Linked DNA regions of Arabidopsis thaliana. The protein of the gene in region 1 interacts with the protein of each later gene in a biochemical or structural test. Each region holds a gene or a part of one and is shown on either strand. Other genes may lie near its edges.

The links. The genes of interacting proteins can lie anywhere in the genome.
Region 2: the proteins of JAR1 (region 1) and FIP1 form a complex in vitro, tested with the Arabidopsis thaliana proteins (one study listed by BioGRID).

What each region holds. Positions count from the first base shown.
Region 1 is NC_003071.7:19,032,026-19,036,970, reverse strand, and holds JAR1 (Auxin-responsive GH3 family protein), read right to left. Parts: upstream 3,231-4,945; 5' UTR 2,739-3,230; coding exon 2,707-2,738; intron 2,631-2,706; coding exon 2,331-2,630; intron 2,264-2,330; coding exon 2,162-2,263; intron 2,016-2,161; coding exon 1,228-2,015; intron 1,141-1,227; coding exon 602-1,140; 3' UTR 526-601; downstream 1-525. UniProt on the Arabidopsis thaliana protein: Catalyzes the synthesis of jasmonates-amino acid conjugates by adenylation; can use Ile and, in vitro at least, Val, Leu and Phe as conjugating amino acids on jasmonic acid (JA) and 9,10-dihydro-JA substrates, and to a lower extent, on 3-oxo-2-(2Z-pentenyl)-cyclopentane-1-butyric acid (OPC-4) and 12-hydroxy-JA (12-OH-JA).
Region 2 is NC_003070.9:9,849,320-9,854,104, reverse strand, and holds FIP1 (FH interacting protein 1), read left to right. Parts: upstream 1-1,655; 5' UTR 1,656-1,804; coding exon 1,805-2,030; intron 2,031-2,115; coding exon 2,116-2,217; intron 2,218-2,629; coding exon 2,630-2,901; intron 2,902-3,530; coding exon 3,531-3,710; 3' UTR 3,711-3,720; exon of another isoform or gene 3,721-3,972; 3' UTR 3,973-4,261; downstream 4,262-4,785.

The sequences.
Region 1 (4,945 bases):
ACTATATGTAGATCTATGATTACTTTTTCGTAATTAGAACTCTCTAAATAAACATCGGTCGCACTAATAATGTCGTAGTCACGTATAGCTTCTCACACAAAATCACACCACTATCTATATTTAGAGAGTTTTTTTTTTGTTTTGGCAAAGTATTTAGAGAGTTTATGATCTCTAAATTTTTAATTGTTTATGATCTCTTCTTGTTTTTGAGAGAAGCACCAAAATTCAATTGTCGAACACGTACATTATTGTTTCGAATATCGTAATATAAAACAATATTTTCACAATATGGTTCAGGTCAGATCGAGATAGATTAGATTATCCGAATTTTATTCTCCATACAGACAATCAATTATTCGAATCTTGATTTTTTTGTTCCAAGTATAATAAAGGTAACGTCACATCAGAAATCTATTTATTTCCCAAACACTAATTGCACAAAAAGCAAAGTAAAACCACTGTGATACAAATTCTATAAAGATAAAAAAAGTTTATGCTCAATTAAATAACGTAAAGAAAACTATATTGACAAATAAAGACAACAACGACGGAAATAAACAACTAAAAACCACTTTCTTTGATTTCACACAATTTTAGTGAGTCAAAACGCTGTGCTGAAGTAGCTACTCACCACATTCTCACACAGAATTTGGAGAACCTTAGCATTACTTGGCTTCACACATCTTGGCATCTTAAACTGTCCAGCCGATGAACCAAGCCCGAGAAAATGTTCTTGAATCTTCCGGAAAGTTCCTTTTGCGACAACTCTCAGCTCCAAGGCTCCAATAGTCTTGCATTTCCGGGAACTAACGTAACCCGCATCGATGAATGCTCGGTCTAAACAGTTGCAGCAATCTTGAAGAACGTCTTCGTTTGTTTCTCCTGAAATCTCCCAGAAGATAGCGTAATGTCCTGGATCTGTCGAGACATCGATGTAGCTAGAGAAGTCTATGACCTCGATCTTTTCTTCTGAGAGTCTCTTTGCAGCCGATTCTACTGAAAGCTGAAGGTCTCTTTCGGTGTTCTTGTCGATGTTGATCGAGAGAATCAGGTTTCTCCTGCATATGAATTTTAGTTGGGGAGTGTTGTTGTAGAAACCAATGACCTTTACCACATCTCCAAGCCGGTATCGATACAACCCTGTGCAATGTGGATCAAATGAGAATTATAAGCATCCATTACGAGACCGATACTACGCTAATTCCAGCCTTAAAACAACGGTAATACCTGCGTAATTTGTGATGACAACTTCATACTCTTCTCCAATCTTGACTTGAGTTAAACCAACCGGTTTCTCCTCTCCTTCCCCTGTTTCAGATACAGGGAGAAACTCGAAATAACCGAGATTCGGAATCACAGCAAATGTAGCTTCCTCTGGAGATAACCTTGGGGTAACATTAGCAGCAATCCATCCTTCCGAGCTACCGTAGTCATGGCTCACAAGAGGTAGATCACCCGCGTAATGTCTCAGCTTTGGCACATACGGCTCCATGGAGCCAGTCATGATCCCGTAAACATACTTTGCGTTGGGGAAGAGCGCGGGAATCAATCCGTACCAGTTGCTCAAACTCATACATTTGGTGCGGATCGTCTCAGCTAGCTCAGGGTTAGGTGTGAGCAGCTTCGACATTGCAGTACGGACCGATGGGACAGTAATACGGTTGCTTAAGACACCATCTTTGATATCGGTAACAATCTCTTCCCAAACCTGTTCAAAGGTTCTAAAAGCGTGAACTAGACCGTGAGCAAAGACGGCAAAGACGTATTGAACTTGATCTCTGAAGAGAATTCCGGATAAGAGATGGCAATACAAGGCTTGATGGACATCAGGACTAAAGATAACTTCGTCGGGACTACAGGAAGGAGACGTTATAGATTTCATCCCAGCTTTGAAGTTAGGGTTGCGGTACACGTTTGTGGTTGCGGTTCCAACCGGGACACCTCCCGTTGATATGTACTGCTTGCTGCTGAAGATAAATTGCAAAGCTTTGCCATTGTCATCAATGGGAAAATCTCTGTACAAGAAGAAAAACATCACATGTTAAGGCATAGTCGGTGGTAAGTAACAACATCACTAGTTTCTCTGTTCATGTCAATGGATGGAACAGAGAAAAGTGTGAAATGTGTGTGGGGGAAACATAAACACAAATTTAAACTATACCTGTTTCTGAAGGCAAAAGCAGTGCGAAACAGTTGCAATGTGTTCTCCATTAATTCATCAGTGAAAGGAATAAACTTTGGACGGCCTTGACTAGTTCCAGAGCTGATGATCAAAAACACACACACTGAGAAACAGAATCATCAATGATAAAGCAAAAAGAGGAAGTTACCTTAAGGAAATGGCAGGAACAGGGTGACCAGTGAGAATAGGTGAAGTGTCACCATCAACCATTCTTTTGATGTAAGGCTCTAATTCAACATCAGTGACTAAAGGAACCATAGATTTGAAAGCTTCTTCAGGGTCAGTAGCGTTTCCATTGAGACCACAGTTTTGTAAGTAAATGGCGGATTGGTTCTTGAGAAGAATCTCTTTCAAAGTTTGTTTCTGGACTTGATGAGCGTTTCTAGTCATTTCATCGAATTCATCAATGACTCTGTTCATGTCGAAAGTTTCAACCTTCTCCAACATCCTGAAGTAGATAAAAAGAAAAGAGTGATCAGATTCTGACAGATTTGAAAACAGAGAATATAAGGGAAGGTATAAACTTAAAAGCTCTTTTATGTTTCAGAGCATCCATAAAGGGAAAGTTTTTAAAAATTCTTATCAGAGAGATCTTTTTGCAGATTTTTTTTTTTATAAAAAAAAGTTGTGAAAACGGTTTTCGAGAATCGAAAATTAAGGAAGGATGGATCAAGAAATCGAAGGGTTTTGAGAGGAACCCAATAGTTGTGGAGAGGTAACAATCAGACCCAAATCGGAATCTATGAGATTGAACAAGTAAAGATGAGAACTTTTTTGGAATCTATCTGAAGAAAAAGTCAACGAGGTCGGAACCGGAGTAATTGGAAGTGTGTTTTACCCGATCAGACGAAACGGATTACTGAGAGATATGAAAATGATCAGCTTTAGTATCTAGATTAAGGAGTGAGAAAGAGAGAGTACCTGCGCTAGTTGCTGCGAGCTCTGTAGAGGATAGAGAGAGAGAGAGAAAAAAGGAGTGAGAGAAAGTTGAGTGAATTTGGAAAGTCAAGAGAAAGAAGCTGTCTTATTTTATAGACACAAAAATTGGACGGAGCAGCAAAAATGTAGAAGGCGAAAGATTAGTGGAAGCCGTTACTTGTATCTCTCTATCTTCTCTTTTTCTTTCTCCGACGGGATCTCTGATTTTTTCTTTTATTTTCTTCTTTTTGTATTCTTAGTTTATTTTTTCATCTTCACATGAGTGTTTGGGTCCAATCTGTAAAAGAGTGTAATATCTTCTTGGAATTAGGACCATTCTTAGATAATGCCCATTTTTACTTGGTTCCTCTCTGCCAAAACTTTAGTTTATTTAAAAGGACCAATCCAAAACAATCGCATGTGGATTACTTTTTTTTTTAACCATGTTTTAGTGTTTTAAAATATTCATTATGATCGATGCATAAAACAATACCGTAAGTTTAGTTTACGAAAAGCCAACTTGTGTTAGGAATATTATTTCTTTAATTCTTGAGTAATTTGGGTTCATGATATTAGTAGTAGATATACATATAGACAACATCATTTTTTGTTAACTAAGAATTTTCATGCGGCTAGTCTTCTAGTTTATTCAGACGAGGATCATAACATGTTAACTTAGTCACCTCTCTGTCATCGTTGTCTATATCATTATATATGGTCATTGCGTTAATGATGTAATACTAGGAAATACATCAGAAATCAACTATTCATCTCTAACAAAAGACCTATATATAATTCTAAGACTACAATCACTTAAATTTAACAAAATACGTTGTTTTTATACCACCTGTTATGATTTAATTTATAATGACCTGCGTTTGATTAATTCAAACTTGCTAAAGAAATAATATTTGATAGCTTCTTATATTTGGCTGTGTAGTTTGTAACAAAATTTGGAACAAACATATTTGTATATATCAAATATATATACAAATATGAGATATCACAATATATGGTTAACAATTCTTCATATCAGTTGCTTGCACATCTTTACATTAGTCATTTAAACGATTCTCAAAGTCTGTGAGGTTCATAAGATTTTTGGAATTAGGTTCATAAGATTTTTGGTTAACAATTCTGTTTCATCCATCTTCTCGTGCACAAAACAAATTAAGTTCAACAATCCCTTTTCTATTGCAGGGTTTAGGGTTTCGTTTCGGAAACGCATATTAGTCATCACAACTAACTTTTTTGTTTACAAGAATAAACTCTCATTTTAATGAAGCTGATCAACATAAGTTAAGTTACAAAAACATACGATTAATCTAATGATCTGATTGTATAAAAAAACAAAACATAGTTGATTTCCTTGAAGAAGAAAAAAAAACTATGTAAGAAACATTTGATTTTTATTGATGATTCTTGTTTTTCATTATATAGTTTCTTCAATTCATACATTTTCATTCGTCAATTTCATGCCTACTTTATATCGAGAAAATCATGAACTGATTGAAATCTGTGGAAAAGCTCCTTTTAGAGAAGTTAACATTTTCAATTTTTTTTGTTGACTGAAGAAGCTATAAATTGTATACATGCATGACAAGTCAACATAAATCACATATTCCTCCATGCTCATCATAAATGTTTTGAGCTTAAGAAACAATGGTACCATGACACATGCATACACAATTTTATTATTGACTGCTGATATTATTATTTTTGGCCTAATTAATTATTTTGATGTCATCCATTTTGGTTATCGTTTATACTAGCTAGTTGTAAAATAACTAAGAAAAACGATTGTGTGTGGAAATTAATTTAATATTCTAACTTTAATTTCGGACT
Region 2 (4,785 bases), on another chromosome or scaffold:
TGGCAATCGAATTCGACTTCGTGATAGAGATATGCACCAACAACTAAAAGATGACCTAGTTGAGCATATATGACAAAAGTTTGGTGCATTATCAAATGAAGAGTAAAACCATAATAGATAATATAGTTAGTTTTGATTTATGTTATCATGGTTTTATATGTAATTTCTGTGTAATTTATATATTTTTTCTATTTAATTTATGTTATCATGGTTTTATATGGAATTTTATGTTTAATTGATATATTTTTTATTATGATTTTATATGTAAAGTAATGTTTAATTATGTTTAATTATGTTTAATTATGGTTTTAAAAATAATAAAACTATTTAATAATATAATTGTAAAAATAATAATTGATATGTTTGAAAATATTGTAGAGATTTTAAATTTAATATAAAAAACATATAATAATATGTTAATGTTAATGAGATACTCATAAGAGTATTTCACCAATGGAAGCACAATTTTAGTATAAGTTTCTCTACTTAAATTAAAATATTAATAATATATTATGAGGTACTCATGGAGTATCTCACCAATGGAGATGCTCTTACGCATATGCTGACGAGAGACGAGAGAAGAGACGTTCGCTAAATCTTTTGCTTTCTCGCCACTACGTCCAGAGTCTCTCTCTGGTTCAGAAGACTCGAAATGGGTTAAACACGTATTCTCTCATTCTCCGTAGTTAATTAATTTAGTGAAACGGTAAAAACAAAATGGTAAAAAATTGGCGGTCGTTATTTTGTAGCGGTAAAGAAAATAGTGAGTTAGACTATTTACAAGTTAACTGTTTGAATTAAAAGTTGAAAGTGATTTGGAAAAAGATGTTGTAGAATTTCTTCAACACCGTTAATTTTGTGAATAAAATCCTTGTACACATATAGTCTTAGAAAATTTGGAAAAAGGTTTGATAAATGTAACTTAGATGCTGCTTGGATTATAAAAAGTAAGCTTTATGGATACGGACTTGAGTTCCCAAGATCATTTAGGTTCAATCTGATTTTGAGGTTTATATAAGAAGCTTCATTTAAACCGTTGAGTGTTTGAGCTATATGAAACTTCAAAAAAATGTCATTCGTTTAAATACCATCAAGAAGAATGTGAATCAACTTTTCTTTTTGGATGAAAACTAGTTTTTTGATATGGTAACTATGTTTTCAACACAACAAAATTTTATCGTCGAATGTCCGAAATGATAAAGACACTCTTAACCTTCATCGGAAAAAATAGCAATTTTTTGTGGTATATCAATAGCGGTTACAATCTAACTTGTTTTGTTGTTGTTATTATGATTAGAACTGTCAATTGGGTGGACCGCATGTGGGTTTTTACAGTCCAAATACACACGGACGGATTATGGTCTGGACTCCAAACTAAAAAACATAAACCAAGCAATCAAAAAGTTAGAATAAGATATTTTTTAGTTAAAACAAAAATCGTAAGTGAAGAAGGTCTGAATTTCTTGAGGAAGATAAACGGGCACAAAACCGGTGTACATACATGGATTATGGATATGTTCTAGAGGAAAGGTATAATTGAATACTAGTATCCGTTACAGAAACTAATTGCATTAAGTTTCGTCTACTGTTTAAGACCGCACGAGATATATATGTTAGACCGACTTTGGGAAAGAGGCTACTTAAATTATTTACGATTAATAATGCCAACGTAACGCGGACAGACATTTTAATTCAATTATTATTTGTTGCCTGCGAGATTCGAACCATCTCTTATTTCATTACTTAACCCAAACCAAAAAAATAAAAAGTTCATTTCGAAAGAAGAAGAAGAAAACATCAAATCATGAGTGGGCAAGAGAATCATGATCATGGCCGGATCTCTTCTACGCCCGCCGCCGCGTCGGAGCCTTCCAAGGCTGCTGCTCACTCCTCTGACTACGCTCCTTACCCTAAGCTCGATCCTACCGACGTCACTCCTCCTCCTCCTCAGCCTATTCCCACCGGTGCCGCCGCAACCACCATGCCAGCGGAATCCAATCCTTACGTTTCTCCTTCCCCTGCCCCAAGGAGTGAGTTCTTCTTCTCTCTATCCGATTTCGCATCCTAATCCAATTTCTGCCTTTGATTGATTGATTGATCTTGGTTTGGGGACAGATACGATGGATTCGGTGAAGGATACGTTAGGGAAATGGGGGAAAATGGCTGCCGACGCCACCAAGAAGGCGGAGGATCTCGCCGGAAATTTTTGGCAGCACTGTAAGCGCTTCTTCTTCTTCTTCTTCTTCCCCCTCGATTAGATGAATTACCAATTAATCTGATTACCGTCTCTTGGAGAATACGATGGTATTGGTTATGCCCCTTCTGGTTAAGTTAGTGTTCATCAATTGGCGCTTCTTCGGAATTTTACTTCGCGTTCAACCACCGACACTAAATCTAGCCAACAATTTTGATATTCATGCTCTTCCGTTTGAGTTTAAGCCAATTAGTTCTTTGTATCTGGTTATTGCCTTTGACTCTTGAAGCTTCTCTAGTATAGGTTGTTTTGGCTTTATTTCTCCGCTTGTGTGATGAATTAGTATTATATACATATGGTTGGAGGGAGGGATGATATTTTATATGAATTGAGACTTGAGAGTATACGTTTTGATATCTATCCTTTCTTTTTCAGTGAAAACAGGCCCAAGTGTAGCAGATGCTGCTGTTTCACGAATTGCTCAGGGGACAAAAATACTTGCAGAGGGTGGATACGAGAAGGTCTTCAAGCAAACATTTGATTGCCTTCCTGATGAAAAACTTCTCAAGACCTATGCTTGCTACTTGTCTACATCTGCTGGTCCTGTCCTGGGAGTTATGTATCTTTCGACTCACAAGCTTGCGTTCTCTAGTGACAATCCTCTCTCTTACAAAGAGGGTGAGCAGACCCTGTGGAGCTATTACAAGGTATACTCGCTCTCTATCCTATGGTTACTTTTTCTTTCTAACTCTTTTATTTTATATCTATTTACATCTAAGAAAACTATTTGAGAACAAAGATTCAGCGAATGTAATATTTGATGGTGACATGATAAAGCGTTAAGTGAGTTAAGTCATTTTCAATGCATCTATTTACATAGATTCATAGACTATAACAAATTTTCTTGTCATTTCTAGTTATTGACGTATAGAACGTAGTGTGTGTACGCTTATAGTAAATGGAAACTACATAATCATTCTAACGATATTGTTGAGTAGTTGCATGTTAGTTCCTATGTAGACAATTAGGACTTTAGTGGTTTGCCTAAGAGAGTAAGCTAAATCTTGTAGCATTCTTGATAAAACTAGGGGAGCCATTGAATAATTGTTAGTTTGAGAGTTTGGACTGGTTCTAATGTAAACATCTAACATGAGCTGAAATCCTATTAAACCAAGCAGAAAGCTTCTTGACAACATGATCTTTGGAAAACTGATTTTAAGATTTGGGTGGTTCTTGAGAACCTTTTTTCGTTCCTTGAGAACCTTGCACTTGCAGTCTATTTTCTGTCATTCTTCCTTGTAAAGTCTGTGGCTGATGATTTTGATGTGATGATCAGGTGGTACTTCCGGCGAATCAGCTGAAGGCAGTGAACCCATCAACAAGTAGAGTGAACACATCTGATAAATACATACAAGTGATTTCCATCGACAACCACGAGTTCTGGTTTATGGGGTTTGTGACTTATGAAAGCGCTGTGAAGAGCCTTCAAGAAGCGGTGCAGTCACATGGTCCGTGAAGGTCCACTGGTATAAATGGCAGCTCTTAGTGATATTGTGCATTAATATATGGAACAGTGTGTTTTAGTATTTGATACCATTTCAATGTGTTCTACATTTTGTCCTCTTGGCGTTTACTCATAAACATTGCTTTTGTTCATTTCCTTTTGTATAAAATTATTTCTTATTTTTTTTGAGGGAACCTTGTCCTTTAGATCTAACATTCATGATTTGTATTCGTGTTCTAAGTTGGATTCGGTCTTTGGTTTTTGATGAGTTTAGGATTTTAAAGGTGATCAAGTTGGGCGCTATAGACAAAACCAGCATTTAGAAAGCCCAATATATCACCGATGGGCCTTTGAAAAGAGCCCAAATCGATAATAAGCATGCATGGGAGAATTGGTGACACGGGCTCATTACAACACTTTCATCATAGAAGATCCTATGTTTAATGTGTTTAAAACAAATCTGGTATGAGTTTTGGAAGATAGTAACATTGAGTATATATGTGGAAACAAATCTAAATGGTGGGGTTTGTGCAATCGCCTAAATTGTTTTTTACTTGCATTCGTTATATGCAAATATCTAAATGATTAAAACCAAAACCAAAAATATCTAATATGATATATTAAAATATTAAGCTTCATTGTATCATTCTTACGAAGTGACCAACTTTAGAAGTTAGCGAATTGTCTGTCATTAAGCCTATTGCTCCTTGTCGTCTTATTCTTTGCTCACCAACGAGCTACGTCCTTTGAATTTCTTATTAAAGTTGTTAGCATATAAACTATGACTAGTGCCCATCAAATTTGAAGATTTAGCATTTGGACTCTTCTTGTGTTAACTGAACATGGTCAGTCTTACAATATCTATATATTCAATGGTTATCGAGTGATTGTGTCATGAAATGTTAATATAGTTGGATCTTTTAAAAAAAAATGTAAATATAGTTGAACCATATACATCCGTTGAAAACAACAACAGCAAAAACTGATAGCTCTGAACCATCTTTGTAAGAGTGTGTTTGCGACTACGGGAGTCTTGATATCAAACCGAAACCACCCTATATATGAAAAAGCTTCATAAAACCGATTT